Linked DNA regions of Saccharomyces cerevisiae S288C. The gene in region 3 interacts genetically with the main gene of each other region. Each region holds a gene or a part of one and is shown on either strand. Other genes may lie near its edges.

Region 1 (7,592 bases), on a different chromosome or scaffold from region 3:
ATCACGTGCTGAAAATCTAACATAAGGGTTAAGATTAGAGTTTTATAGGACTTGTTTTGTAATATTTCAAATACGAGCTAACCCTACTGATTTCAATTAGGTCTAATTTAGGGTTGAGCTGCACTGAAATTTCGGAAATTTTGGGTTATTTTAAATGAGACAGAAGAACTACAGAGATACGTTCTTCAGACTTTAAAGCTTATCTCCACAAAGAATTGGTCAAGAAATCATCCTAGAAAAACACGTTTGCTCACTCGATCTTAATCACATAGAGTGCTGGAACGGGAAGAAATGGGTATGTGCCTCGGTTTTTCTCATTAACCCCTTTTGATCCATAACGGTCCTCTTTTGTTTCCTTTTTTTTTTTTGTTTTAGTATTTTATGTTTACTATTTTCTTCTGTTTCAGTCATACGTAGGAATTATTGCATGAAAGAGGATATAATATTCATGTGGATTTTTAAGAAAATAGATCAAGTTTAAATAGCCACTAACAATTGAACAATGCTCTCTCTTGGCCTCTTTTCTTCTTTTTTATCGTTTCTCTAAAAATCAAGCTGATTAGACATGGTCTTGCAATGTTTTTGCTTTCTCTAATCAGCTTGGTTTTCCGCAAAGAAGAGAAAGTCACGGAATTGTCTACATATGTTTCTATTCAGGAACAAATAATACATCTAATAATAATGGCACTACGAAGAAAATGTCCCTAGAAGAATTTCTAGGGAACGACACTTTAGGCGAGTCAGTATGGGATGAGGAAGATATTAATTTGGATGCTATAAGCAATACTACGAATATTGACATCTTGAAACAAACCAAGGCAGGCGAACATCAACGTGATGGTCACCAACAGCACCCACACGGTGGTCATGGACCCATGAACAGATCACGTTTTTCTAATGCAGGGCCTTTTGGTGGTGGTAGCATGGGGGACTTTGCAAATCATCACCACCCGCTGCAGCATCAGCAAGGTCCTCCTTATATTGTGAAGTTTTCTGATTTACCACCGAGATTTTCCAACTTTGACATTGAAGATCTTTTTCAAGCAAAGTTTACCAAGTTTATTAAGTTCAAACTGTTTTGGGAGATAAATAAAAATCCAAGTATTTCTACTTTGAAATCGGGGTCAATCTTTGATCAAAATTTCAAACGTGACTCGAAGGTAGCATTTGTCGAGTTATATACATCCCGTGATATGGACAAAATTTTGAACTATTGGACCACTCCTTTGAAGGAAATTTACCACATTACAACAGCGCCCGCAGAATTCGAAGATTTTAAGGATTACAGCACGAAGGTGAAATTATTAACAGACCCTAAAGACGATGCTGGCAAACCATTCATTACTAAGACTCAGCGGTCAAAATCCAATCCTTTTGGAAGTGCTAAACCGGTTGATACGCAATCGAAGATTTTGGACATTGAAGAAAAAATGGAAAATTTACACGTGGAAGATACAACAACCCTGAGGGCATCATTAATCCCTAGTAGTGATTCTATGGCAACCACTGCAACAGGCAGCAAGATCACAATCTTGAAAAAGCAGACACCTACAGAGGAGGAATCACATTCTGCAACCCCAACTCCCAAACCTTTAAGTTACTCTGAAGTAGTTGAGAGATCTGTGGTCAATGAAACTTCCAAGAAAGGAACTCCATTAAGCAAGCTTGACTCACCAGCTCTTGAACTACAATCTAAGCCCGATAAATCGGACGAGTTCAAAGGTGGCGATGAACAAGGCTTTGAGAAAGGTGGCGACGATAAAGCTCAATTAGATGTCTCAAATGATAAAGATAAAGGTTCAGAAACCGATGTTGATAAACAGTTCACTTTCAAGAATGTGGAAAGGGAACATAGTATGAGCAGAACCAAATATAACGGAAACCATAATAACAATAATGGCAATTTTAGAGGGAGTAATAGATATCGTGGAGGCCCCAATGGCAGCAGTTATAAAGGTGGGCATAACAATCGTGGTAATCGCGGCGGATATCGTGGTGGCAGCTCATACAACAACAACAACAACAACACTAATGATAATAATAATAATAATAATAATAGTAGTAGTAATAATAATAACGGTTCAAGATATCATGATCGACAAAACAATGAAGAAGGGTTAACCTCGGATTCATCTTTAGATGCCTCAGGAAATAAAAAGAATGATTTCACGAACTCAACATCCAATACACAACAATATTCCATTTTCAAACCAGCAAGTGGGTTCCTTGGCCAAGGTAATAATGATTCTATAAGGAACAATGGACGCGGTAACTATAACAGCAGCGGTATGAATGGAGGTTCGAGAGGAAGAGGATTTGGCAGAGGAAGGGGATTTGGCAGAGGCGCATATAACAATCGAGGTAGTCGTGGTGGACGTGGAAGCAGCGGTAACTACTCCAACTACAATAACAGAACAACAGACATGCCTTTATGAGTCATGTACTGACCCATTAATTTTCTTTTCTCTTTTTTTTTTTTTTTTTTTTTTTTCCTCTATTTCCTTTTTTTGTTCTAGTCGGTTACGCAGTTCTGAGTAATGTAATATAGCGTTCCTTTTCCTCTCAGATTTTTTTGACCTTATTTTGTTTCCACTTTTTACTACTTATGCTGCTTTTTGTCCATTTCCCCTTCAGTTGTTTTGAATTTTTTTTTTAAAAAAAATTCGTCTTTCTGATTAATCAATTTTGATTATATATTTTCTCTTGATTAGTTCACAATTTTTATAGGCCCTTATTTCTTAAAGAAGTTTTATGAAGTTTCGTAAGTATTGGGGGGGTTGAAAATAATCTCTCACGTTATACGCAATAAAAAATTAAAATTAAGGAGAACCAATCTATAGAAACGAACCATTGAATTTAGCTATATGACTATATACCATTACGTAATTTATATAAACAGCTTAATATAGCGAAAGCAAAGTAGAACGAAATTTCGGAGAGTTCTAGATTGTATAGAGCGAATGAGCATTCAATACACACGCGAAGGCAGTAGGCGATGAAAGGAAGTTTTTTAATGTCATTAAGAAAAAGATAGGGAACTTCTATTTCCTGTCTTTCATATATATATATATATATATATATATATATATGTGCATATGTACATCGTTGAGTTGTTCATGAAATAATGAATATAATACTTCTGGATTTTTTAGTCAGTAAATTTACTGTTGAGATTCGTTATCATTTGTGATGCTTGTTTCCATCATTTGCTGTTGTTGATTAGCCAGTTTTCTTTCCTGTCTACCTTTCTTCATAACTTGCTTCAAAGCTGCACTATCTAGTGGATCTAACAATTCAAAAGAGCACAATAAACCTTCGCTGACGCTCATTACAGCCCCCCAATTATCAAATTCACCACAATAATTTGGCGCGGAAAACACCGTAACGAGACTTCTATCATTGAAAAATTCATAACCGTCTTCCACAACCATGTGAGCTCTACAAACCAAATCAAACCCAAACTTGTTCAAGAATTTGTTAATTGCCACCTTATTATAACAGTAACTTACACCACGTTCGTTATCCTCCCATTCGTTGGGTGAATCTGTGGGATCGGACCACAAAAGATCATTAATTAAGCCAAAATCTGGTACATCAGTAGGCCTAACTACATGTCTGATTTCATCCATAGAATTTAAAACTGGCGACAATCCACCATGAACACAAAAAATCTTTCCGGCTACGATAGCAGCTAATGGTAATGTATTAAAAGTATCGATGAATGTCTTCCAGATCTTGATGTTACAACGACGTTTACATTCATCATAAAATCCATAAACCCTTGTGACGTTAGCACATTCATGGTTGCCTCTCAATAAAAAGAAATTTTCAGGGTATTTTATTTTGTAACAAAACAATAGTAAAATAGTCTCCAGTGACTGTTTACCACGGTCCACATAATCACCTAGGAATAAATAGTTCGAGGATGGTGGGAACCCACATTTGGTAAAAAGCCTTAAGAGATCCCCATATTGGCCATGAACGTCGCCTACAATTTTTACAGGAGGTGATAATTCTAATAAGGAAGGTTGAGAAAGAAAGATTTCACGAGCCTTGATGCAAATCTGTAAAATTTCATTGTTCTTCAAACAAACATTTTTTGTTCTCTTAGCAGCGTAGCCCGCATCCAGTAATTTTTGGATAGTTTCATCAATATCGATAGGCTTTTTGAATTTTTTTGGAGCGTTTTTGTTTCCGGAAGATTGCATTATATCATTAAATTCCTCATTCGGATCTTTTTTGCTATCTGTTATATTATTATTTTTATCATTAACATTTTCCATTGATGCATGGATATTACTCAATTGAGATGAATTTTCAATGTCATCATCATTGCTGATGTGTTTGCTCGGGTAAATATCGCGACTTGAATGGTGATTCAATGAGGAGGTTGAATTAGAGGTAAAGTATTCACCAGAGTGATCTGTTAGCTTGGACAAGCCTGGAGAGTTTAATGGGGTGCTGTATGCGGTATTACCATCTGATCCAAACGAAGATTTCCTACTGTGTAGCGAAGATGCATGAGAATTTGACCGGGTTAATGCCTGAACGAGATAATTCTCCTGATTGTTAGAGGAGTATGATCCATTGTTAGGCTCTTCATGGGTCACATCTGATTTCCTTCTTGACACTGATCCGCTTCTTATACTGGACGGACGAGAATTCGAAGATCTAGAAAACCTTTTAGTGTGCGAGATGTCGTTGTCTTTATCATCATTGTCATCATCGGTTAAGGCGTTCTCATAATAGGTAGATGAGTATGAAGATTTATGCTTGGATACGTGTGTGCTACTATTGTTTGTTTTTAAAATGGGTGACTTGGGTTCCATTTGGATCATTGAAGGTGGTAAATCAGCAGCAGCCTTAGTATTATAACTTGATCTTCTAGAAGTAGAAGGCCTCTTAGTAGAGGATGATGAAGGAGTAGTTAACAATTCGTTTTGAGAATTTGAATGCGAGTGTGAGCTAGATGGGAAATGGTAACGATTCGTGTGAGAGCTATGTCGTTGGTGATTAACCTCAAGATTGGGCTTTGATGGAGTGGAGGGATCAGGGACGTTTGAATTAGTATTCGTAGTGGACGAAGAAGGAAGAGATCGCCTTGATCTTGAAGATTTATTTGATTTTGCAGACTTCACAGAATGGGAAGTCTCGGTTCTCGACACTTGAGGACGAGGATTTCTCGAGGAGGAATTCGAATGTGAATCCTTTTTCGAAGATTTTGAACTTGAATTACCCATTTTGAAAAGGAAGGAAAGATAAGCAGAGAGTGGTTGATTTGTTGTTTTATGACAAAGCCTCTAGGGGAAAAGAAGCGACTATAACGATGAAATAAAAATAAAACGATAAAGAAAAGTATAATCAAATGTATTCCAAAGAAGTACTTTTATATATAATCTTTATATTTAACTTGAAAGAAAAAGATTTAACATGTATTGCCAAAACAAACAAAACTAATAATGGAAGCTATTGTATTGTGCTTTTATGTTACCCACCTGCCAATGGTTCACAAGAGAAAGCTGATTAACAGAATTAGAAGATCTGCAGTAATCGTTTTCTTTTTTTTTTTTTCATTAATTTATATGCTATCCTTTTAAAAATAGACATGTCATTTCAAACGACATGTTAAAAATTATATATATGTTTATATATAGATTGATATATGTTGGAGCCGTTGGACAATTATGGGCAGCTATCTGAACATGGATCCCTGCCCTTCTCCTTGAGTTCTCCAGTAAGCGTTAGGCAAAGTGTCCGACTGCAGACGGTAGAGTCTCCACGCCTCACGGATGTGTTCGGGCAATAAGGGACTGTTGTTATATTTCTCGATGCTTACATCTAGTTTGTTGAATTGGAGGACGAGCTTATTGTACTGCTCGATGAGTTGTAGCTTCAAGTCCTGTGAATTATGGTCTGATTGCTGTAAGGATTTGGACTGTAGCAACGAGTTGCCCAGCGTAGTTTCGCGCTTGTCTACTTCTTCATCGTCGAAGTAGAAATCAGGTTCGTCTTCGGGAACGCTATCGGATTGATAATCTTGCTTGTATTGCTGGTTTTCTATGATGGAGAAAGTCAATTTTTTTAGATATTTTTTCAATTTATAGCCTATTTTGGTCCTCTTATCAAACTCTATGCACATTTGACTTGTCAACCACTTATTCTTCACAATCATGGCCAATTCGATTATCTCACCAGCGTATATTTTTCCCACCGCTTGCAGAAAAACACGAATATTTTCACTTATAGTTTGATTAGCTACTGTGCTAGCCAGTTTTTTGACCTGGGTTTTGTTTAGGGATGTTCTATGGAAAACTTCAAACCGATTAGTTTGATCTTTATCCAAGTTGGTTACCAAGAGCTTGAATTGTTCGTCCTGCGCAAGTTTTTCATTTTCATCTTCGTTGGTATTGGTGTCTTCGTAATTGCTATTTTGTGTTTGCTGTTGTAAAATGTCTTGTGGAAAGATCAGGTTTTCTGGGACTTTGTTGATAGAGTCCGGGTCTTGCTGATTTATCCTGGTTTTCTGGTATTTGTATTTTGGATATTTATTTAATTGGTTGTTGATTGATGTACCACCCGTTCGCAGGTTTTGCAATTTCCACGTAACGTAGTCCTGGTCCTCACTGATGACTTGGTCAATCATTTGTTTTGTGGAAAAATAGTTTGCTATTGTCAGTATTGGCGGATAGTTCACTTTCGGGATGGTGTCCAAAGGACCTTGAGGTTCGGTCATCGTTGCGCTGTTGAAGCTCAAACTTACTTTGTGCTCTTCATTTATATGGATAATTATCTCTATATACCTCTTCTTGATTTTTCAATTTCTTTCAACTTTTCAGTCGAAGAAATGGGAATAAGAGAAAAAATTCGGTAATGAACTGAACAGAGATGAGGTCTCGAAGAGCCAAGAAATAAAAGGTTAAGAACCAACATGGAGATAAACCAAGCGGCTGAAAAAGAACAGGAGTATGTTCACAAAGTGTATAATGAGATAGCTCCGCATTTCTCGCAAACTAGATATAAGCCATGGCCCATAGTGACTCAGTTCTTGAAGACTCGCCCAATGGGTTCCATCGGTATCGACGTCGGGTGTGGCAATGGAAAGTACCTCGGAGTGAACCCTGATATATATATTATCGGTTCAGATCGCTCAGATGGTCTTATTGAGTGCGCCAGAGGAATAAACCCATCGTACAACTTACTGGTGGCAGACGGGCTGAACTTACCACACAAAAACGAAACATTTGACTTCGCCATCTCAATTGCTGTAGTGCATCACTGGTCTACAAGGGAGAGACGTGTTGAGGTGATCAGGCACGTTCTATCGAAGCTACGTCAGGGCGGACAAGCATTAATATATTGTTGGGCTCTAGAACAGGGCAGCTCCCGTAGAGGTTACCATGAAGGTATGGAGCAAGATGTCTTTGTCCCCTGGGTTCTTCCCAAGAGTAAATCCAAACCAAAAACTAAATCAACGCCGCCTGCTAAAGTCAAGACAAGGCCAAAGCCAAACTTAATGAATATTCCCCCAAAGGAGCGTTCCGAATACTTGCAGCGCTGGAAGGAGGAACAGCAACGCAGTAAGTCTCTTGATG
Region 2 (9,882 bases), on a different chromosome or scaffold from region 3:
TTTCTTCCTTCTATTTTGATTGGGTATATTTCTATTCGTGTTTCATTACTGGTCTGGGTTAATTGGGTTTTGGTTTGGTCCAGTTGTTTTCAAGTAGCCTTTATTTTTTCATTGTGGTATTTTATCTTATCGATTTATACTTTTTTTTATTCAAAGAAAATTAAACAGATAATCTCTTATGAGCCTAGCTACTTTGTTTTTTCTTACAGGGCCATTGACTTATGCCCTGAACGAGTCTTACTTTACTTTTTTTGTATTTTCAATAATGTCGTGTTTCCCATGTTGTAATACGCCCAAAGATTATGTGGTAGAGCTTTTTTTTTTTTTGGTTAGTGTATTTACCAAACTGGGATGATTTTCAAAACTTATGAAGCAGTTTCAATACATAACTGTCTAACGTAAAAATTTTATAAAATGGAAAAATAGATGATGATAACTATAACAATTTTAAAGTACAACATATTCTACTTTTAGAATAATTCACAATATACAAGGACGATCCTGGAAAAGGGTAAATATGATTCAGCTTCGAGGAAGAAGTACAAAAAGAAGACGAAATGGTCCATTACAGACTAAGCACTATCCAACAAAAAGTTAGTGGCGGCTTCTAGATCCCAGTTGCACTTTTCCAAGGCATTGTGCGCTTCTTCTTCAGTAAATCCCATGCCACTTAACTCCTCGACGGCTAGAGACTTTGGAGTAGTTGCAACCCCGCGGTTAACTATTGGACCTTTTGACAAGCTAGCATCAACGATAGGATCATTCTTCAATGGAATTGGTTGTTGTGGAATGCTTGGGGTAGCTACTTTGGTTGGTTCAGCTTTGGAGTTACCAAATCCAGCAAAAATCTCGTCCCACTCATCGTTGCTTACTTGAGCAGGGTCACTGGTTGACTGTTGTTGTACTTGTGGTTTTGGGATAGTTGGGTTAGAGGAACTAGTTAACGTCCCTGTAAAAGCGTTCATTTGTAGTTCGTCATCGAGATCCTTATGGTCTATGGTTTCAAATTGCTCCATCGACCCAGCATTCGCAACATTCTCAAATTCAGATTCCGAATCAGCACCATTATCTTCCTCCACAGCCGCTTGTTCTAACCCTGCGAATTCATCATCAAATTCGTCCTTAACAGGCAAAATGGAATTGGTGCTTGCCTTTTTTGAGTTACCTTCATTATGTGAAGGAGAAGTGCCTGGAGCGGGATATTTTATGACTTGTTCCGTGTGGATTTCCAAACTTGATGTGGGCTGGGCATTATAGGGAGTTTGAAGGGTCTTCACTGTTGCTGATGGAATTTCTCTGGTATCTTCAAACTCATCATCGTCTGAAGAGGATGAATCGCTTTCGTCAATATGCAATTCCTGAATTGGTGGAAACTCTTCATTTATTGTCTTTGCTTTTGGTTGAGCAGAGATTTTTGGAGATTCTTGGATAGAACTGACCGACTCACCGTCTTCATTTGAATTAGCCCTTTTTGTGGTACTTCCGTCTTCAATAACTTCTGTAGTTTCGTTGCTCAAAACATCAGTAGAAGCGGTAGCTGGGGTAGCTTCCCATTCACCAGGAATGTGAGATAAGTTTCCAGTATTATCTCTATTCGCAGTATTATTGATGGTGTCACGTTCTTCCAACGTTTCCGGTAGCTCAACATCATCTCTTACGGATTGAGGAGCATTGTTTGCAACAGACGATGTCAAGGATTGACTTCTTGGAATACCATATTCATTCAAATCACCATCAAACCTATCACTTAATGTTTCAGTTAAGTTTGGATTTGCTGTCTCATTTCCTGACTGGGTGCCGTTGTTTGTATTGGCATTTTCACTATCGCTTTGAGATCCCAAAGTTGGAACGTCTCTATCAAATACGTCACTTTCGGTTCTTTCTGTCTTTTCTTCATCGTCTTTAACCCGATTAACATTCAAGTTTGAATTCTCAACAGTAGTTTCGACAAATTTGGATACAGTGTCTTCGTGAACATTTCCTCTTGATGTGGCTTCTTTGGTTGTTGTATCTGTATTAGAGGCGCTTTTCGCAATAATGTCCTTAGCATCCTCAGGTAATTGTCCCATAGCTAAATTCATTTGTCTTTCGGATAACTCTCTCACATTGTTAGCGTATTCGATGTTTCTCTCCTTTAACTCTTGATCAGCTTTTTCAAAAGAAGCTTTTCTCTGTGATAGATCGTCGAACATTTCTTGCAATTTAGAAACGTGCTGATGGTAGAGATTTTCTTGTTCTTCAATTTGTCTGTTACGTTCTTCCAATTGTTTTTCACGGTCCGTTAAATCAGTATCCTTGTTGGACAGATCCTGGTATTTAGCTTGTAATTGTGCGTGTTGCTCCTCCACGGTCTTTTGGTAGTCATTTAACTCCTTTTGTTTAGTTAAGTAAACGCTTATCTTTTCGCCAAGACCATCGATTTCCTTCTGCAAGTTTGCTACTGTGACTTGATTCAACTCTAGCTGTTTTGAATTAACATCTACCATTGACCTTTCTTGCTTGACCTGTTGTTGTTTTTCATTTAATTGTGACTGTAAGGAGGCTGTCATCGAGTTCAAATTCGTAATTTGTTCTTTTAATTCTGCGTTCTTTGTTTGAGATTCTTGCAAATCAGTAGTTAGTTCATTGAGTTTGGACTCAGCGGCATGGTAGTTTGCTTCGGATACAGCCAACTGTTGCGCTAATGTTTCGTTTTCTTTGTTTACTTGAAGTACTTGTGCTTCCAGTTGTTCCGTTTGTTTAACATTTTGGTCATGGGTAGAACGTAAATTGTTCAATTTGATTTGAATGGAATTTTTCATCTCAGTAACACGTTTCAACTCCTGGGTCGCTCTTGACTTTTTGTCATTAGTTATACTTGCCTGCTTGGACAGGGAGTTTACTTGGTTAGATAAATTAGCCATTTCTGTGGTAGCATTAGATAACTGAGCAGAAGCTTCACCATCTGCAAATAAATCCTGGTTCTTGAATGCATTATTGGAAGATCTTGAAAAAGCGGATGCGCCTAAAGCAGCAGCACCCACTGCGGCGCCTACAGCAGCACCAGTGGCAGCGCTAGTGGCAGCGCCTGCTGGCATGCTAAACACAGAAAAGTTGGGAACTTGTGGCAGTGTTGTTGAAGCTGTACGTTTGACTGGACTTGAAGCATGTTTTGGAACTGGCGGAGGCTGAGCGCTAAAAGTATCACTGGATTCCCTTAGTTGCTCTTGTTCCTCTGGTTCTTCCTTGATTATACTTTGACCGAAGTTTGAGGTGGGAGTAAATTTCTTCAATCCAGAGGAGGAGTGAGTTAAAGGTGGAGGCTGCTGTGGCTGTTGTTGTTGTAATGTTGCTTGGCCATTGTTATTATCATATGAAAAACTATTATTTGTGTTGTTTTGAACCACAGTTTGTGCTTTAGTGGGAGAAGGAGAGCTGAATGAAGGGTTCAAAGCCAGTAAATCATTCAAAGAACCGTTATTTGAGTTTTGAGGAAGAACTTGTGGAACTGTTGGTTGAGTATTAACTGCTGGGGCAGAAACTTGGTGTGGCATATCCTGTAAAGAAGGCTTACTTGCTCTTGAGGGGATGGCAATTTGAGGTGCACTTTGTTGTTGAGGAAGTGGGTTTGGCGGATAAAGTCCTAAAGCGGGGGACTGTAATAATTCATTGGGGATAACATCCGGTAATTCGACACCAGCATTCTTTTTTTGAATTAAGAACATGGCAATAGCAAATTCCAATTTGGTGAATTCAGCATTGTTGTGGATGTCAGCTAAGTCCCAGATGGTGGCTAACGTCTCTTGGTTTAATCTAGAGGATAAGAAGAATGGAACCAACACAGCAGAGCTTAGCGAACCAGCATGTTGCTTATCTAATGAATCAAAAATTGCATCAAACTGTTGTTTTTTTTCAAAACTTAAAGACCAATCTGAAGCAGCATTACTGAATGCACCAGTAGATAGACGTGATATAGTAGAGTGTCTTGTTAGTGAAGATACGCCAGTGGAGTTAGCACTCAAAGGAGTAGTCCTGTTTGGTTGATTAACAACAACAGGTTCTAAACGAATAGAATCCCACAGCTGAGTAGGCAACACGGCCGGTGGTGTGTTCATACTAGGATGATGAGACATACATAGTTGGATCAAATACATGGCCATTATAAACTCAGATTTGTCTAAGACACCGGATGCGTCTCTATCACAAAGAGCCCAAATTTCACCTAAAGTTTGATTTGGTAATCTTGCCTTTAAAAATATATCCTTGGCTTTATCACCAGCAACAGTTTGAGCACCCTTTGCTGTCCTATCAAACAGTTGTGAAAATTTAGCAATATCATTTGAGGATAAGGCAGGAATATCAGTGTTGTTTGTATTGCCGGTTGCACTACCGCTTTGCATAGGGGCTGGGTTCTGATTTATAGAAAAAGAAGCCAGTTGAGTAGGTGTGCTCTCATATAGGGCAGCGGAAATTGGTTGGTTGGGAGCATTTTGCAATTGAGCGATCATTCTCAAAGCAGCCGAAAACTCGTTCAAGTTCAAAAACCCTTTATTGTCTATATCGACGGTAGCCCACACTTGCGATAGTAATTGCCCTGGAAGACCAGAAGACGCGAAGAGCGGTCTGACTGCCTCGCCAGTGACCACCCCGAGATCTTCCGTATCCAATTGGTGAAATTTCTGATTATAAAAGGCTTGTTCCTGAGAGGATAATGGAGTTCTAAAAGTAATAGATGCCATGGCCTATATCGTTCGAATCCTATTGAAAACACACAGATAAAAACAGGAAAAAAGATAGATCTAGAGCTTCACGAATCTATTTATTAGTTTCAACGCGCTATATTATTTCGCGAGAACCAGTAATTCTCTATTTAAAAGCACTCTATTGCCTATCACAAAGTGCTCTGTTGTGTGTTGTTTTCAATGTGCTTCTGAAAAGGGGTTTGTAATAGTTGAAGATTTTGATTATAGGAGAAATCTAATCCCCCTCCGAAGCGCCGACGGGTAATGATTGTGTAGTTTTTCATTTCGCGATCAAAAGCATGTATTTTGACACAGCTAACAATACCTATTATCATTTTTTGTTGGTGTTCTCATCGATTGTCAAAGCACAATAAAAAGCTATGAGCTCGACGATGTTGGATGATGTGGATAATAATATGATGGGTATCAAGTCTATCAGCCTTTATGAATTACTTAGCGATGTGGTGAAACAGGGCGACAAGACGCGATTGGTGACGGCGGGTCCCGAGCAAGTTTTGCCTGATTTAATCCGGCATATCACTGAAACAATACCGTTTGACCTATTTATAAACCTTAAGAATGAAATGAACGATGCGAGAAATCTCGTTACTAGATTAAATTGGCTGGGTAAGTTTCTGAATGATAATTTTTTACAAAATCATACATTTCCATTCACAATACTTCGGATATGCGAATTGTGTTATGATCCTTTCAAATATTACAAGATCAATGAATTGGAGAAGTTTGTAAATGCGCTAGAAAAATGTTGCATGGTAACTAGCAGTTGGCAGGTTTTTGATAAAACACACGGTGAGAAGCAAGAGGACGATAAGGAGAAAGATATTAACTTCATCAAGAATCAAGAAGATGTCTCACTAATGAAGATACCGTGGATGACCGAAAACAATACTAGGGAGTTGGCACCCTTTATTAGAGAAATCGACTCTATAATGAGTGTCAACCTAGGCTACGATGACGAGGATGAAGAGGAAGGATTTTTTGATGGTGATGAAGATAGGGAGATGGGGAATAAGAGTAAGCGTAATGTTTTGCTGAAAGATGAAAATTTCATGGTGGAAGAATACTATGAGGATGATTGCGGGATAAACGATGATAATAGCGATAATAAAGGACAAAATTGTCAGAGCGATGTTACGAAGAATAATAGCGATGATGAAGATGACGATGACAACGACGACGATTATCGTGAAGATGGTGCAGATGAAGATGATGAGGATGATGATCACATGGGCAGCACAGATGACGATGAAGATGATGACGAAGATAGGCAGGCGGGCGAAAGTACCAAGGTGCAAAATTTTGACAAGAAAAATGAAACTCCAAGGAAGAGGAAGCCCACAGATTTAGATAACTTTGAATATGACGAATCACCATCATTCACAAACATGGATCTCACGACGCCAAAGAAATATAAACATACCGCAACGGGCAGGTTCTCCATAATAGAGTCGCCATCGTCTTCGCTCCTCAATGCCATGGACGGCAGTAATGAGATCTCATCGAGCCAGGAGGAGGAGAAAGAGGATGCTCATGAAAACCATGAGGGTAGAAGTGAAGGACTGTTACCAGGTGACGAATTAGTGAGTCCATCGATGAGCTCTTCACAAGAGGATAAGATGGTTGCGATTGCTGGTATTACCTACCGTGAGAATATTAGCAGTCCATTAGGCAAGAAGTCCAGATGATCGAGAGATGACTTCTCTACCAACAACTTCCCATTTGCATAATATCATTAAATATGTTTTACCAAAAAAAAGTTCATCTTTCTTATTTTTAAAATCGATAGTTCTTCAGGATCTTGGTCACATATATATATATATATATATATACACTTATATAAAATAAGACGTTTATTTAATCTTGTTTTCTTACGAGTTTCTTTTTTTTTCTTTTTTTATTTTCTACTTTTGCAAGGAACAGTGACCTTGCCAATAAATAATGAAGACTACTTGGGTTACTAGAATATAAAATACATGTAAAAAATTCATTTATGGTGTGAGTGTGCGAGCGTGCCTGTATACATCTAGCAGCTTGCTTATTTCTATTTTATGTGCATGGAAAATATATTATCACACATCTTACCATCTCATCATGGACATGTCACTTCTGATTCTCATGTAATCTAATAACCCTTCAATTTGGCCTGTACCAGCAATAGCAATATCTTGGTCCCATAATCTCTTACCGGCCCAAGCCTTAACATCTTTGACTGTGATTGCATCAATTTTCTTGAAAGCCTCACCCAGAGACAGTTTGGAGCCCTTGATTAGGACTTCTGCGCCTAACAAGTTAGCGTCATTGACGGGATTACCAGATTCGTATAACTGCCCTAATTGTAATTTCAACAGCGATTTGGCACGTTCAACTTCAGTATCAGTGACAGAAATGGTCAATCTGTTCCATTGTTTCAAAGTGAAATGGATGAGGTCGTCAATCATGGTAACGTTTCTCGTGGCCGTAGAGAACCCCCATAAACCGGAATCTTTGTAAGAAAGAGAGAAATGATTGAAATTGTCGCATAATTGGTACTCCTGTATGTTGTCTAACAATTTGATACCTTGTAATCTAGAAGCGGGTTCGAAGGCGTTGTATGAGCCGAAAATTTGGGCGGCTAATTTAGCAACAAAATAATTTGGTGAATTGACAGGTTCACCTTCCACAGCCAGCGAAATCCACGCCTTTGGCAAGGTGTCGTCTCTCAATCTAACTTCGGAACCCAAGAAAGCGGCCTTTTTCTTGAGTACGGGCTTGGTACCGGTTTGCAAACTTAGGTTTTTGGATTCGATGGAATTTACTAAATCCTCATGTTTGATATTACCGGTACCAACAACAACAGCATTTGAATTCAAGAAATGGTTATTGGCAAAAGATTCCAGATCAGCAACAACTAAATTCTCCAAGGACTCCAAAGTACCTCTAGTAGGCAAAGATAATGGAGTGTTTTGGAAGGCGGTGGAGTGTAAATGTTCCAAAACTCTGTTGGGATGGTCGTTTTCTTCAAAATCTTGAACTTGCTTCAAGACAGATTTCTTCGTGGCCTCGAAGTTAGAAGAAGATAGCAAATTAGCCTTTTGTTGGATGAAAGACTGATTCAAGAAGTCTAGTGATTTATCGGTAGAACCTGGCAAAGAAGATACAATGTAAGATTGGAAGTCTCTGGAGATATTGGAAGACAATGCCAAACCTTCCTTGGCGGCAACAGCAGAGTTTTCTTTGGATAGAAAGATGTTCTTCCATAAATTGGAAACCCCGTTGTTATAAGGGTTTTCGTTGGCAGCACCGGAGCCGAAGACAACACCGACAGAGGCTGTGTGAGCGGAAGGATTATGCTCAGTGGCTACAACTATACCGTTAGATAATTGCGTTACTTCGGCCTTGGGGGTTGCTACAGCTGTAGCCAAAGACCTCTTGAACTGGTTAGATACAGTCTTTGAAGTTACTGTTCTTAGCATTTTTTTTGTTTATATATCTTGTGTTTTCTTTCTCAGTGATATGGTGACGATGATGTTCTTCTCGTATTATTACTCCACAATTGTCTTGATCAGCAATGGTAGCAATTTAATATTAGGATTCGTTACCTATACGAACAGGGATGATATAATATTTTTTCTGTGAAAGCTATTGCTTTATTATACGCTGTTTTCCTCGAATAAGACGGGGAAAGAGAGTAGGGGAATATCGGTTAGGGAGCGCTGTAGGCCTTTAATTTTCTTGTTTGGTTTTTATTTGGTGCAGCTGACAGCGCGGGCCCTTGAACTTCTGGAGGACAAAAAACACTGTTAATTTATTGGCATTTCATTGGTGCAGAAAGCGTGCTGTCCGGGTCACAGTTAAAGTTCATATACATGTTACCCTACCCAGTCCGGGTTATGTAAATCGTGAAAAAGAATATCTGGTTTTAAAATCTCTCTTTTCTTTTTCCCCCTGGTGGGTATGGGTGAAATGCTAGAGAGGCAAAAAAAAAGGTTGCCAAGTAAAGCGAAGTATTTGAAGTATACTGCAAGCATCACCGAAACAGGAAATCACGAAGCTGACTCATCTGTGATTTTCCGTCCCCACCATAGTGATGTAACATGCAGTAACGCACGGCGGGCCGAAAGTCGGACTTTACCCCAGATTTGTAGTTGTATCCTATTGGATCACGGGCGACGGACAAGACCCGAAGTGCGGACCGGCATGGTCAGCTTGCACGGAAGCTTTAAGGGTTTCCCTTGTTTCGGCATTAGAAGAGGCATTTCGCACGTTTTACCGGGTCAGAAACTTCGAGGAAGCTGTGACAATTGGAAAAAAAGGCAAAACTAAATGCAATGTATCCGGTTGCCCATGCATTATTTGTGATGTTTTCGGATGTAGTTCGCTGCGCTCCGCGGCGATATATCCTCTAGCGAGAGGCATATGTATAAATATATATATATATATCTAACAAAAGCATTCAAGTTTCTTTCTCTGGTGTTACGTCTTTGTTCGACTTTCTCTGCTTACAGCCCTGTATGACCAAAGAAAAAATAAAAAGACAGCTACATACCAGCAGAAATTTTTTATAGTATTACACTATACATCCAAGTTTTTTCACAATTATTTATTGTTTTTCTCACATAGAAAATTCCGCATACTGCGATTATAATGAACTCTACAACCCCATCGATTCAAGATCAATATATTTTGGCCAGCAAAGTACGCTCCAAGCTGGCAAAATGCGTTAGCGTGACTACTAAAAACAAAGACTACAACCTGAGAGTTTTAGTCGGGCACGCAAACTTGCTGGATAAGATTACAGAAAATGTGGAAACTCATAATGCTGCAACCAACGCCCTTGCCGGAGACCCTTTCAGTAAAGGACCTGAAAACTTGTCCATCGAACATATCGAATTGTCCAATGCTAATGCTAGTAAAAATGACGTCGGTAAGGAGGAAAATGCAGAAAAGACGATAGAAAGTGAAGATTACTGTGATTTTTACTCTAGTGACGAAGATCCAGATGCTGACACTCTATCTTCTACTGACAGTGAAGACGATGATGATTATGAAGACTATGATTTTGAGTACGATTACTCTGGCGGTGATTATAACAAGAAAATTGACATGTACTTTAGTTTTCACACCGCACCTAATTATCAATATTTGACTCACACAAACTCTC
Region 3 (4,210 bases):
TCTTCTTTAGATTTTCCAAACTTAAACTTTGACTTCCAAGAATACATTTTCAGGAACTGTATTAATGTTTGTTGATATGAGAGGAACTTTGAAGTGTCAATTTCCCGCTGTATACAAAGAAATTGTAGAGTAATCTATATCAAAGAATATAAAGGCTTTGAAATTTAACCAAACACAAACAAACCAATTCTAAAAAGTATGGGAGCGAAAAATAACTCAACTGTTGTTGGTATGACGATAGTGTTGATTACCGTTGGCTCGTTCGGGATAAGCATTTTTTAAGCCTTCCAATAGGGGCATGTTTTGATCTTGTTTTCCTGTAGCGCGGCTCTGCCGCGAAGAAAGTCGCGAGTAACGAAAAACAAAAACAATGTTGTATTATGAAGCTAATTGATAAGTCAATCAGCAAAAAATAGATATACTACATATATCCTCTACATATAAATTAAGATCAGTTAAAACATCTTTGGAAAATTAGTGCTTGTTCAAGACCAATAATTCTATGTGCGGACTGTTGGTTCGTCTGTTCCTAAAATTTCTTTAAATCTTAAGAATTTTACAATGGAGTTGATGACGGGTTTCAAGAAGACGTCAGCTGTTTGGCCATAGTTCTCCTTTTTATCAGTATACTTTTCTACGTATAATCTTATTGTTGCACCAGAACTGCCTGTGCCGGATAACCTCAAAACAAATTTAGTCCCATTCGAAAACTTTACGAAAAGGCCTTGATTTTCAGAGATGGAGCCATCTAGATCTCTATACGAAAAATCACCACAATCGATAACGGTTAAAGACTCATCAGCTGGGAAGTGGGAGCCACAAACGTTTGGCCTTGATACAAATTCACTCAAAAGAGCTACAACTTTTTCGGCCTGCTCGCATTCGATATGTTCGTAATCGTATCTTGTGAAGAAAGTACGGCCATACTCGTTCCAAAATTCGTCCTGAATAGTTTTGATCGAAGCTTCCTTTTCAGGGTTACGCCTATGGTAGATAGCCAAGATATTTAACCAAGCAATAATGGCCCATAGACCGTCCTTTTCTCTGATATGATTGGAACCTGTACCGAAGGATTCTTCACCACAGATTGATAGCTTTTTAGCATCAAATAAGGCACAGAAGAATTTCCAGCCGGTTGGAACTTCGTAACATCTTAATCCCTTTTTTGCTGCAACACGATCAATGGCTGAGGATGTAGGAAATGAACGTGCCAAGCCATAAATACCTTGTTTGGCGAAGTATGGAATTTCGGGTGCATATTCGGCAATAATGGCAACAGAATCACCTGGCGAAACGAAAGCAGGGCCATAACCGTAAATCATATTCCTATCACCATCACCATCGGAGGCTGCTCCAAAGGCAATTTTTTCGCGGTCAACCCTGTCAACAAGAGTTCGTGCATAGGTTAGATTCGGATCGGGATGTAAACCGCCGAAATCAGGTAAAGGGTGCCAATTTTGAAGAACTTCCTCTGCCGGTAAACCAAATTCATCAACAAATATAGCCTTACCATATGGTCCTGTAATACCATTTAAGGAGTCAAACAACAACTTCCACCCTTTGTCTTTGCGCTGTTTCGCTAAGAAGCTTTTAATTAAGTCAAAATCAAAAATTTCCTTCAGAAATTGAACGTATGCTTTGGCAGGATCAATTATGTCCACTAACAATGGGCCATATTTTTGGTTTTTACCAAGCTTGTTCAAATTCAACTTGGGGAAGTTCTTTATAATTTTATAGTGAGTTAATTTTTTAGACGCTTCCCAGATAGCGTTAGTGACACTCTCTGGAGCTGGCCCACCATTAGGTAAATTATACTTGATACCTAAATCATTCTCTGGACCGCCTGGGTTGTGTGAGGCAGTTAATATGATACCACCACCGGTACACTTTTCCTCGTATGTTCTAATTATATGAGAAGCAGCTGGTGTTGAAAGTAAACCGCCTTGACCAATGACTAACTTTCTGACACCGTTTGCAGCACCTACTGCGGCAATCTTGTTCATGATAACATCGTTGTAGAAACGACCATCTCCTCCAACAACTAAAGTGGTTCCCTCTGAGCCATTAGGGATAGATTGCATTGTTGCTTGAATGAAGTTCTCAGTATAATGAGGCTCATCCATGAAAACCTTGGTCTTCTTACGTAAACCTGAAGTACCCGGTTTTTGGTCCTTATAAGCAACTGTTGGTACAGAATCTATTAGAAGTGACATTTACTATTCAATTGAGTTGTTAGTTACCTATTTTTGCACTATTGAACCGAAAGTGGATGAGAGAGAGAATGTTTATAGGTAGACCAAAATCGATGTGATGCGCCCTTCTCCTTTTCTTGCATCCGTAATATAAACGCGAAATACCAGGTAAAAAAAGACAAAATCTCAAATAGCGAGAATGCCGATTTTAGAACATCATTTTTCTATTTACAAGTATAGCATTGTCGGTACTGAATGCCCTTATTCCTCATGACAGACTGAAACCACCGTGATACAATTGTGGTAACGTCATACATTTGACATTTATCAGGGGAAGACAGAGATCCTCTACTAGGTCATATGCGGGATAAAAAAATCTCCACGTCAATAGTGTAAAATTGTAAATAAAACTGTGGGCATTGCTGTTCTCGAGAAAAGCTGCCACTTGTGTTTGAACGGTGTCGGCTTTAGCATCCTGTTTTAAAAAGAAAGCCCTGTAGGGGGCTCGAACCCCTAACCTTATGATTAAGAGTCATACGCGCTACCGATTGCGCCAACAAGGCTTTTAAACGTGATTGTGTTGTATCTCAAAATGAGATATGTCAGTATGACAATACGTCACCCTGAACGTTCATAAAACACATATGAAACAACCTTATAACAAAACGAACAACATGAGACAAAACCCGACCTTCCCTAGCTGAACTACCCAAAGTATAAATGCCTGAACAATTAGTTTAGATCCGAGATTCCGCGCTTCCACCACTTAGTATGATTCATATTTTATATAATATATAAGATAAGTAACATTCCGTGAATTAATCTGATAAACTGTTTTGACAACTGGTTACTTCCCTAAGACTGTTTATATTAGGATTGTCAAGACACTCCGGTATTACTCGAGCCCGTAATACAACAGATTGATACGACCGTTAGAAATCGATAATAGATTCTCTATAATAGGCTCATTATAATAACTACTATCCCTAAATTCACCTATTTCTCCATATCATGTACGGCAAGTTTTTTTGAGAAGAAATTTATTGTATTTTATACTTCACAATAATGCTTTTAGTAAGATGGGATCAGAACAATCATTACAAAATTTCATTTATAGTTCAGCGATAATGTTCTGAAAAAGTTTCAATTCAATTCACGTGAGGACAATAACACTATGTACAGTAGATAACTTAAAAGTTCTTCTGCCGCGTTTTGGATAATTTCACGAGGGGAAATGGACAATTTTACTTAATACTGCTACCATTTCTTCCCTCGTTTATATCCTTTCATTCATTGCTGGGTTTGCATGGTCAGTCCTTACTAATTAGCTTCCTATAAACTCGATGACAGTTAGGACGCTCACGGACAATTATATTCTGAAAACACAAGTAATACTATTAATCTTTTGTACCAACAATTGATTAATACCAAACTCTTATTCCAAACAAAAGAGGTTCGTACTTAGCCGGTCAAACCTGGGCTGCGAAAAAGTCCGTGAAAATTAAGAAGAGGCTCAGTGTTTTCAGATGAAAGCGATTAAAATTTACAGATATTATCTTCTATTGCGTGGTTGTGCAACGTTTGAATAAATATTTGTAATCCTAATTTCTTGCAGATTCGGATATGACCCAGCAGGCATGTGCGAGTCAAGTTAATTTTTCGGGTGCTAGCTAGTACTGGAAAAAGTAAAAAGTGTCATTTGCAAAAAAAAACCCTCGAGAGATTTGTATGTTATTTAACGATTTCTTTCCAAGACTCTGCTGCGTGAAATCACCAACAGTTATTCAACAATGTCACTCAGAGCAGTCCCAGGATATTTTGCTGCATATCCAAGTGAGGGTTTTCAAGGATTAGACTCCACGAAATATGATCACTTAGAATTGATTAACCATAAGAATTGGAAGGAACTGTATCATGCTATCCCTAGAAATACCAAAAATCGCCACTATAAGCTGTTGATTTTAGCTAGGCATGGTCAAGGTTACCACAATGCTGCCATACTGAGGTACGGTATGGAG
Region 4 (9,391 bases), on a different chromosome or scaffold from region 3:
CACTTTTCGGTAAGTGATGTACAGGACCAAATATATCGGTATGCAAGTACTGAAAAGGCTCATATGATTCTTGGTACTTTAGTCGTGATCCTTTGACATGCCTATGTTTCGTGCTTTTGCCGATTAGACAGTCAGGACATTGATATGTGCTAGCGTTAGACCATTCAATATCCGATTCTTTCAAATATGTAACTGCATTCTTCTTAAGAGACTTCTGAATACTTCGGAAGTTAGCATGTCCAAGCATTCGATGTATTAACGGATATGGATATTTATTTACGCTTTTGCTTTTGTTGACGTTGTTTATTGTTAGCTTTGAAATGTGCGAAGGAATTAGGTATTTTTTAGATAACCAGTAAAAGTCTCCATGTTTGACTATGGGAGCTAGTACTGTACCATCCGATCTTTCTAAAGTGTTTCTGGTAAAGCAGGCAGTAATATTTTGGTTAGCCAGCTCACTCAAACTTAATAGATCATAGGCTATGTTTGGTGTGTGTAGTGCTTTTATTGATGTTTTGGTGCCGTTCTGAAAGTTGAAGTGAAGATTACCAATGGCATTTATAGGAATGTCTTGTTTTTGAGCATCGACTATGTTTATTTCAGAATTGGGTGTTGCATGGTGTAAATAATGGGCTGATCTGACAAGCGTTTGCGAAGCTCCTGAATCAATAAGAAGGTGATCAGGTAGTTCGTCATTCGAGTCTATTGTGCGTGTTGGCTTAGATTCTTTCTGTTGCTGGCCTAAGACTAAGTTCGTTGTCATCGCTTAAGTATTGTGATGAAACGGTTGATTCATTAATGTGATCATTGTTCACCCTTGAGAATTTACTGGATGTAGCAATATTGTGAGCTTTTGCTGCTCTTGGTTTTGAACTATTTGTTCTATGATAATTACGAGTTGTAACCTTCGTGTTAGTCGTGTTTGGAGATGTGCGAGAAACATTTTTGTATTCGCTGTGTTGTTTGTATTGGGACGGTTTATTTAGATTCATGATTTTATTTTCGTCATATATTAATTGAATTTCAGCGAATAATTGGGAAAGTTTCATGTTCGTTTTGGTACGATATTGATTACGTAGGTATTTGAAATCACCGGATAGACCTTTAAGTATTAGTTGACAGGCCAATCTGTCGCTAACATTGATATTGTTTTCTTTTAGCCTTTGAATGATCGTGCTGACTGTAATTTCAAATGTATCAGCAGATGTACTTCCGTTGTACTCAAGGTTGGCAAGAGCTATCCAATCTTTTAATTCTTGATTGTTAGTTTGCATTTTGGACACACTTTTACAAAGGACAGTAAGGATGTCAGAATAATTAATTTCTAAAATTTGTTTTACCCATGTTGGCAATAAATGAAATGGGGCAAATGCTTGGAAGGTATTGTATATATACGCATGTTCTTCATAAGTCATTTGTCTTTTGATTTCACCCTGGTCATTTGGAATAATGTCACCGAGATTAGAGTTCTTCAAAAATCTGATGTAAAATTTAACCCATGTAGAAAAGTTTTCTTCTGATGTTAAAGTGTGTGGTGGTAAGACATTATTTCTCACCTTTGTCTTAGCTTGAGGTACTTCAGAGTGTTGATCCTGTGAATCGATTGGATCAGGTGAGGAAGTACTCAGCGGTGGGATATACTGTGGCAGCGGATAGTGTGGGTCCGGTTGATAATACGCAGGTGACGTTTGATAATGTGAACACGTCATCATAGATGGTTGTTGGTAATGTGCCCAGTTAGAAGCCATAGCTTTGTTTGGGGTCATCATGCCGTGCTGTTGGTACTGTCCATTCTGTGGAGGTGGTACTGAAGCAGGTTGAGGAGAGACATGATGATGGTTCTCTGGAACAGCTGATGTCCCAGGTGTTGTCTCTTCTTGAGAATTAACCTTAGTGGAATCTCTATCAAATTCCGGTAAATTGGAAGCTGAAACGGCTAACGGATCTTGATTTGATGGGACTTCCTTAGAAGTAACCGAAGCATAGGCGCTACCATGTAGAGAATGTGGATTTTGATGTAATTGTTGGGATTCCATTGTGATTAAGGCTATAATATTAGGTATGTAGATATACTAGAAGTTCTCCTCAAGGATTTAGGAATCCATAAAAGGGAATCTGCAATTCTACACAATTCTATAAATATTATTATCATCGTTTTATATGTTAATATTCATTGATCCTATTACATTATCAATCCTTGCGTTTCAGCTTCCACTAATTTAGATGACTATTTCTCATCATTTGCGTCATCTTCTAACACCGTATATGATAATATACTAGTAACGTAAATACTAGTTAGTAGATGATAGTTGATTTTTATTCCAACAGGTTCACACGAAGATTGAAAGTGTGGCCACGCTAATTTAGTTTATTAGGGAAATGCTCCTGGTCAGTTCTAATTCACCCAACGTAGCGCGGAATATTTTAAAGTTAATATAGTATTTCGATATGACAAGCACCTCTAAACAAAAGGTTATTTTCGCTTTTGTTCATTGAGCGTGTACTTCAAGCCTGATCCTGCTTTTTCTTCTGATTTGATCTGATTCGATTAAGCAAGCGGTACTACCCTAAAACCGCCATCTGTTGTAATATAGTAACGTCGCAATAAACCTGTCATATAATTAGCAGCTAATCCTTATATTCCATCTCCTCAATTTGTGATATTTATCGTATATAATTCCCATTTCAGACCGTCATTTAGTAGTAGGCATCTAACTATGGAACGGCTTTACCCGATCTTGGTATGTATGCCATAATGTACTACCGCTATCGATTTACCTTAACCCTAACGAGTGTCTCTAGCCAGTATTTTAAACTTCCATATCACAACTAATGTTGAAGATTGTATAATAAAAACATCAAGCTATTTAATAGATGCGATTAATCTCCTAATCGAAAACAGTTTGTTCGGTGTCCAAATACTGTTTTAGTGGACTATGATAAACGTTATAACAGCTATTTTGACTAAAACAACCGTAAATTTACACAGATAGGTGTTCACAGTAATTTTTTGGGGAGTTAGGTCGAAATCTTTTCCAAAACCAGTCATGCAAAGGAAATGCGTCAACTTTTGGGGACTTTTCCCCTACTCAAACACAGTTAGTCAACATTTAAAGGTTGTGTCTTTACTTAAGAGAAAATTAACTGAGCTTCGGTCATACATACGTAATTTCGCTGCTTCCAGTCGAGCAGTTGGTGCGCTATAATCATTTGATGTTTTTAGCTTACGGCTTCTTAAGATTTTCTATTGTTCATACTGACTCGTCGCATAGGCCGCAATATAAATCATTTAGAGAAAACGTTAACACATCGTTTAGGTAAACAACCCCTAGAGAGGATGATCAGTACGCAATATAACTGTTCAAAATCCATTTCTTGCATCAATATTTTATTCAACTATTATTTCTGGAGGTTTTAGTGGTTCTGTATACCCCCTCCAGCCACTGTTATGAACAATTAATTGATACTACTTCGAATATAAACATTAAAACAAAAAACTTATTGAGTGCAGCAAGTTAACATGTATCGATATAATAGAAGTTCCCCTTTTGAACGAACACCAGAAAAACGAGTAAGCCGTCAAGAAAGCCAACGAAAGAGCATCGAATTGCCCAAACTGCCACCATTGAATACGAGGAACTCCTTTTTGGATGATTCTGATAACGGAACAGATAATATCTCAATTGGCTGGACACCAATCAGTGACACCCAGCAATTCCAAAGCCCGGTCCCTCAGGCTTTTACCTTTACATCAAAACATAGTGCAAGGGGAAACGGTACTAGCTCTTCAGAATCCACACCCAAATCGACAAAGTACGTCAAAGAAAGACGACCACCACCACCGCCACCCCTTTTGTATTCCACTGAATCAATACGGATAGACTCACCCATGGTATCTCCCAGTTCTCAGTCCCGGGAAAGATCACCTAATAAACTATCCTTTATAGGAAACTCAGAGGAACGACATCACATGGAATACATATCTAACCATTCCAGGATCTTAAAATCACCATTTGCGAACGGATTTAGTCCAAATTCCCCTAAATCTCCAAGAGATAGTAGCAAACAGCAGGCTCACTTCTCTGATGAATCAGATCTACGGTGTCATGAAAGAGAAAAAGCTTTACCCCCAATTCCTTTCACTACTACTCTTCTGCTATCTCCTTTTGATGATGAAGACTCAGAATTTTTTACGAAACCACCACCGCCTCTATCAACATCTAGAAACGTAAGTGGGAATAGCCGAGTATCAGAAGCCCTAGAAAGTGTTTATTCTGACTCAGATTATACTTTTAATAACTCAAATGCCAGGCAAAGTAGTTTTAACTCTTTACTAGGAGCCAAGCCATTAGAATTAGCACCAAGCATTACTGCACCGACACAACCATTTTCAATTCAATCTATCGATGAGCACAAGCTTTATCAATGTGATAATGTTTACAAACTTTCTGCTATTTATGAGTGGATTTTGAAAGTTTATTTTGAATGGTTTAATGAATGTGTCTTCACGAAAATCGATCTTTTCCAAATTGTTCAATTACTTTTAGAGTTTCAAATGCCTACAAATTTCGATCAAGATACGATAGACTCAAATGTGGATAATATTATGGCTTCGTTTATTTCCCAGAAAGCAGTAAGATTCGATATCATTAACGATGAAGAGGTAGCCGTAGTTGTGGGAGGGCTGGATATTACTGGTGTTTTCACCGAACTACTACCGTGCTATTCATTCATCGATAATACTTATGGATCTACAAACTCCCTGATTTGTTATTCCAACGTTTGCACACATGGCCAAAGCTCTGGCTTCAGAAAAGAAATAAAACTTTCCGAAATCATAAATAAATCAGTTGGACTTTGGACAGAATACTGGCACTTGACTCCAGATGATTTAGCAGAAATTAATCCCCGTGAAGTACAAAGACAAAGCTTTATATTTGACTTAATTATTTTAGAAGAAAGATCCTTAAACATGGCTACTGCCGCGGTAGAAATCTATGGGAAACGGTTTGACAAATCCCTACTTCCAGATGAGCCTGAGTTCAAGGCATTGGCATTTGATATCTTCGAACCTCTAATACAATTACATACCGAATTTCTTTTGACGCCAATATTTTGGAAATTAAAAACGAGAGGTAAGTTTATTGATGGCGTTGGAAAAATCTATTCAAAATGGTGTGGTGAAGCCAAGAATATATATTTGAATTACGCGAAAGCTATGGCAACGGTACACGAAATCATAATGTGGGAGAAGAAAAACAAGACGAAATTTGTAACATGGCTTAAGGAGATTGATAACTCGGTTGAAATTACAAGATCGAAGATGTATCATGATGTTATATTCTTTGGGGGGTTTTTCAAATCTTTACAAAACATGCCCGTAACTCTGCGCTCAATTTTGAAGAACACGGATCCTTCCATGGAGGATTATGAATACCTGAAAATAGTAATTAAGGAAGTAGAAAAGTTGAACTTTGAAGTTAATCAGGTACATGGATTAGCAATTGACCATAGGAAACTAGTAAGGTTTTCGAAACAATTAGTATTAAGTACTAATAGTAGTAATGCAACAAGCTATGTGAACGTCGGTGGTAGTACTAACGCAAATGACGATGATGCAATTCAGGATAAACTAGCTCTTGGTTTAACTTATCCGGAAAGGAAGTTAGTACTATCTGGCACTGTTTATAAAAAGAGGGATTTATGGCTGGACCCAACCCCAGTGTATATCGCATTATTGGACAATTGCTTACTGATTACAGAGGAAATAAGTAAAGGAGAAACTCAAAAATATAAGCTTATTGAAAGACCTATCCCAATAGATTATTTAAGTCTCGAGAAAAGGAAAATTCCAGGAACAAGTAAACAGCCTCTGAGAAACTACTCTCAGAAAGAACATAAATCCCCAATGCATAATTTTTCGACACCGATTAACTCCATGAGACCTCTGCTTAAAAGTTCTGGAAATCACATGTCAACAGCGTATGGAGATAGAAAGACTAGTAATACTGAAATTTCTAACGCGAATCCAAACACAGACGAGTTCTCATTTAAGATCAGAAATACAGCCACAGGTGAATCGTTCAAATTTTTTACAGAAAGTGCAGAAGTACTCAACCAATGGATTGATGCTATCATGGAATCTTTTAAAAGAAATGCAGAAAATCATGATTTAAATGCCTTTGAATTTACAGTGTTGAGCTCTGAGTTCGCATACTTCGACAAGGATGCACCGGTGAATCTACCTGTAGCTCCGGAAGGATCAGAAATTGATGTAGCACTCAAAGCTTACGCTCAAAAAGCAAACAAAGATTCATGTTCATGGAGTAAGACAACACGGATTCTTTGTTGTGAAGATGTTAAATTCGAGGGCAGAATTTACCTATTTGTGGCTACAACAGACGGTATCTATGTGAAATATAGAGACGATTATGGTAGTGGTTTCGTTAAAATATTAGAATTAAACGACGTCAAAAGAATGGAAGCCAATGTTAAGTTGGGGCTCTTGTTTGTATTGGATAACAGAAAGTTGTGCTATTTTAATATCTCAACGGTAGTGAGCCGTTACCTAGCGCAAGGAAACACTCTAGATGAAAACTGCATTGTGGGAACAGTAATCAGAGATAAGGTGAGATTCTTCAAAATTGCTGATGATTTTGGTAACTCAAAACATTTATTTTTTGAAAGAAAGGGGAAGATAGTTATATTAACACCAGAATTTGATCAATTGACAAACCAAGTAAAATATTTCAAATTTTACAAAGAGTATAAGCTCCCAAGTTCAAGTAATAACATTCTGAATAACGAAATTGAGGATATTGCCATATTCAGGAAAAGTTTTGCTGTGTGTACAAAGAAAACAGTCATACTTTATCAAGATTCATTCGAGGATAACGGAATAGTCTTACCATCTTTTTTGAATGATAAAGATATGATGGCACACTTGAGGCATCCACATTTGAATAGCTTACCGTTCAAAAGTGCTACAGACTCCAAGAAACGCCCCTCCATAGAATCTCTCACTGAAGAAGCAAAAAAGGATATCGCCACTTGCAAAGCTATACCGGTCAATTTTTTTCAAATATCACAATCTAGTTTTTTTGCCTTGGTTTATGATGAAGCCGTAGTGAAAATAAACTGCTACGGTGAGATGTCTGATTGGAGAAAGGATATTCTCTTACTTGATTTTTGTTGTACCGGCGCGAGCTTCCATGGTAATCATTTGATTCTCGTTGGCGACAATTTGATACAGATTTACGACTTAAAAAATGTTGAGCAGAACCTAGGCGAATTGGTTCCCGTCCAGATCATAAAAGGAAAGAAGATAAAGCTGGCTAGTTCAGAAAGGAGAGAGAAAACAATTCTTGTGTTAAGTCATCCAAATATACTTAATAGACAATTATTAGTCGCGTGCAATCCTGTAGCAATGGCAGATCATCAATAATATAAGATATAGACACTTTTAATGGTAAATATCGTTGTAATAATATAAGCCAACAAGAATATAGTCCAGTAATTATGCTATTTGCAGTAACTCACATCATTATTCTCTCTGTTCATATAATCCTGAATAACAGGTTACCCTCGGAAGTGCATTTAGCCGTATAACAAGTAGCTCTTTAAAATCAGTAGAACAGATACATTAATATGTGATAATACGGCTGTGAGGAAAAGGTGAAGTTCTGGTGATGAATATAGACTGTTTGTGTCGTTGGGTAGTTCTGCCACTGCTGCGCTATCCACTTCTGGTAGCTCTTGTATTGAGATGGTATGTAAAGTAGAAAATAGGCATGAGGTTAGAAACAGCGTTTTTTATACTAACATGACGAACTAACCTAGGTCTCTAAGCGACTCGATAAGCATTTGTCTAACAATCTATACACTACTGATAAATGCATTCCTCATTGCTAATTCCTATATAAAGCGGTCGGGACAGGTCGCCTGGAAGAGCCTTCGTGAATTTAAGAATGGCATAGTTCTTATTACTGGAGGAAGTAAAGGACTTGGACGGGCCATAGTATCTCAACTCCTACAAGACTACAGCAACCTGACCATCTTGAATGTCGACATATGCCCATCATCAGTGAGGAATACTCGCGTGAAGGATCTCATCTGCGACCTGAGTGATGATGAAGAAGTTGCAGCACTACTGAATTTGTTGAAAAGAAAGTATAAAAATGAAATCCGATTGATTGTGAACAATGCTGGAGTAAGGGCCAACTTCACCGGATTCAACGGCATGGAACGGGATAATCTTGATAAGATTTTTAAGATAAACACATTTGCACCACTTCAGTTCATTCAAGAACTGGCCCCTAGTAGACACTCAACTAGACAGTGTTATATTGTCAATATCGCAAGCATTTTGGGCATATTGACGCCGGCCAAAGTAGCAGCTTATGCGGCGAGCAAAGCAGCATTGATAGCCTTTCATCAGTCGTACAGTTTTGAATTGCAAAACGAAGGCGTAAGAAATATCAGAACACTATTAGTGACCCCAGGGCAACTGAATACGGAAATGTTTGCAGGATTCAAGCCTCCTCGCCAGTTCTTTGCCCCTGTAATAGACATTACTACTCTAGCTGCCAAGATAGTCCGTTATTGTGAGCTGGGTCAGAGGGGACAGCTAAATGAACCCTTTTATTGTAGTTTTGCTCATCTTTTGATGTGCGTACCTTATTCGCTACAACGCATTGTAAGAAGCTTCTCTCGCATAGATTGCTGCCTCCCGGACGAGTAGAAAGCTATACATAGTAAATAGAATATTTATAGATGAATCCGAGTAGACAGCCTTGGTGTTTGCTTATACATTCTTTGCAATTATGCACGCCCTCATTACCGTTGCTCATATTTTTGGGCATTAATTGTATTTTGAAAAGTGCTCGTTCAGGCCCGTGTAAAAAAAGGTGATGAAGCAAACATTATAATAAACACTTCTGAGAAGCCACGTGTAGAGGGGTAAGCTATATCGTAAACACCGTTGGATGTGGACCACGGTGCACTGATAAAATAAAGATATAGTAGTAGAATCTGTTACTAATCTTAACACTTTTGATGGTAGAACCGGACATGCAGAAGAAGGCAAGTGGTGGCAGTGGCGGTTCCGAGATGGATACTTTAAATGCTACCAGCAACAGTAGTAAACAAGGAGTTTCAAATAATAAAAGGAATCCGGTCAGTAAAAAGAAACCAGGGAATAAGGTCTCTGATGGAAGAGATAATGCACATAATTATCACGGGGAAGGCCGCAGAAAAAGTAGCAAACAACAGAGGTCAAGAACGCCCTATAAGGAGACTAGTACTAGGATCAATGATCAAGATATAGATTTATCTATCCAGGAAGAAATTCTTGGTGGTAATTTCAAATTACGAGGCAGGAAAACTCAAGTTT

The links.
Region 1: mutations in PGM1 (region 3) and PPZ1 together harm fitness more than expected from each alone (negative genetic interaction), as found in Saccharomyces cerevisiae (2 studies listed by BioGRID).
Region 2: mutations in PGM1 (region 3) and EDE1 together harm fitness more than expected from each alone (negative genetic interaction), as found in Saccharomyces cerevisiae (2 studies listed by BioGRID).
Region 4: mutations in PGM1 (region 3) and TUS1 together harm fitness more than expected from each alone (negative genetic interaction), as found in Saccharomyces cerevisiae (2 studies listed by BioGRID).

The regions. Positions count from the first base shown.
Region 1 is NC_001145.3:236,297-243,888, forward strand, and holds PPZ1 (salt homeostasis regulator), read right to left. Parts: upstream 5,241-7,592; coding exon 3,162-5,240; downstream 1-3,161. Other genes in the region: PSP2 (Psp2p), read left to right, coding at 292-295, 658-2,435; TATA-binding protein-associated factor TAF11, read right to left, coding at 5,693-6,733; TRM9 (tRNA (carboxymethyluridine(34)-5-O)-methyltransferase), read left to right, coding at 6,929-7,592. UniProt on the Saccharomyces cerevisiae protein: Essential for the maintenance of cell size and integrity in response to osmotic stress.
Region 2 is NC_001134.8:127,323-137,204, forward strand, and holds EDE1 (Ede1p), read right to left. Parts: upstream 4,719-9,882; coding exon 573-4,718; downstream 1-572. Other genes in the region: RRT1 (Rrt1p), read left to right, coding at 1-288; PSY4 (Psy4p), read left to right, coding at 5,102-6,427; ubiquinol--cytochrome-c reductase subunit COR1, read right to left, coding at 6,821-8,194; YBL044W (uncharacterized protein), read left to right, coding at 8,676-9,044; ECM13 (Ecm13p), read left to right, coding at 9,366-9,882. UniProt on the Saccharomyces cerevisiae protein: Functions at the internalization step of the clathrin-mediated endocytosis (CME) as an early-acting scaffold protein. Requires clathrin adapter proteins, ENT1/2 and YAP1801/2, for normal spatiotemporal dynamics and viability.
Region 3 is NC_001143.9:201,544-205,753, reverse strand, and holds PGM1 (phosphoglucomutase PGM1), read right to left. Parts: upstream 2,214-4,210; coding exon 501-2,213; downstream 1-500. Other genes in the region: serine/threonine protein kinase YPK1, read right to left, coding at 1-47; PMU1 (putative phosphomutase), read left to right, coding at 3,983-4,210. UniProt on the Saccharomyces cerevisiae protein: Minor phosphoglucomutase isozyme that catalyzes the reversible interconversion of alpha-D-glucose 1-phosphate and alpha-D-glucose 6-phosphate. The mechanism proceeds via the intermediate compound alpha-D-glucose 1,6-bisphosphate.
Region 4 is NC_001144.5:979,374-988,764, forward strand, and holds TUS1 (Rho family guanine nucleotide exchange factor TUS1), read left to right. Parts: upstream 1-3,520; coding exon 3,521-7,444; downstream 7,445-9,391. Other genes in the region: TDA5 (Tda5p), read left to right, coding at 7,689-7,768, 7,840-8,740; RING-type E3 ubiquitin transferase MAG2, read left to right, coding at 9,055-9,391. UniProt on the Saccharomyces cerevisiae protein: Guanine nucleotide-exchange factor (GEF) for RHO1 that stimulates the exchange of RHO1 GDP-bound form into GTP-bound form. Required for signaling of cell wall defects to RHO1.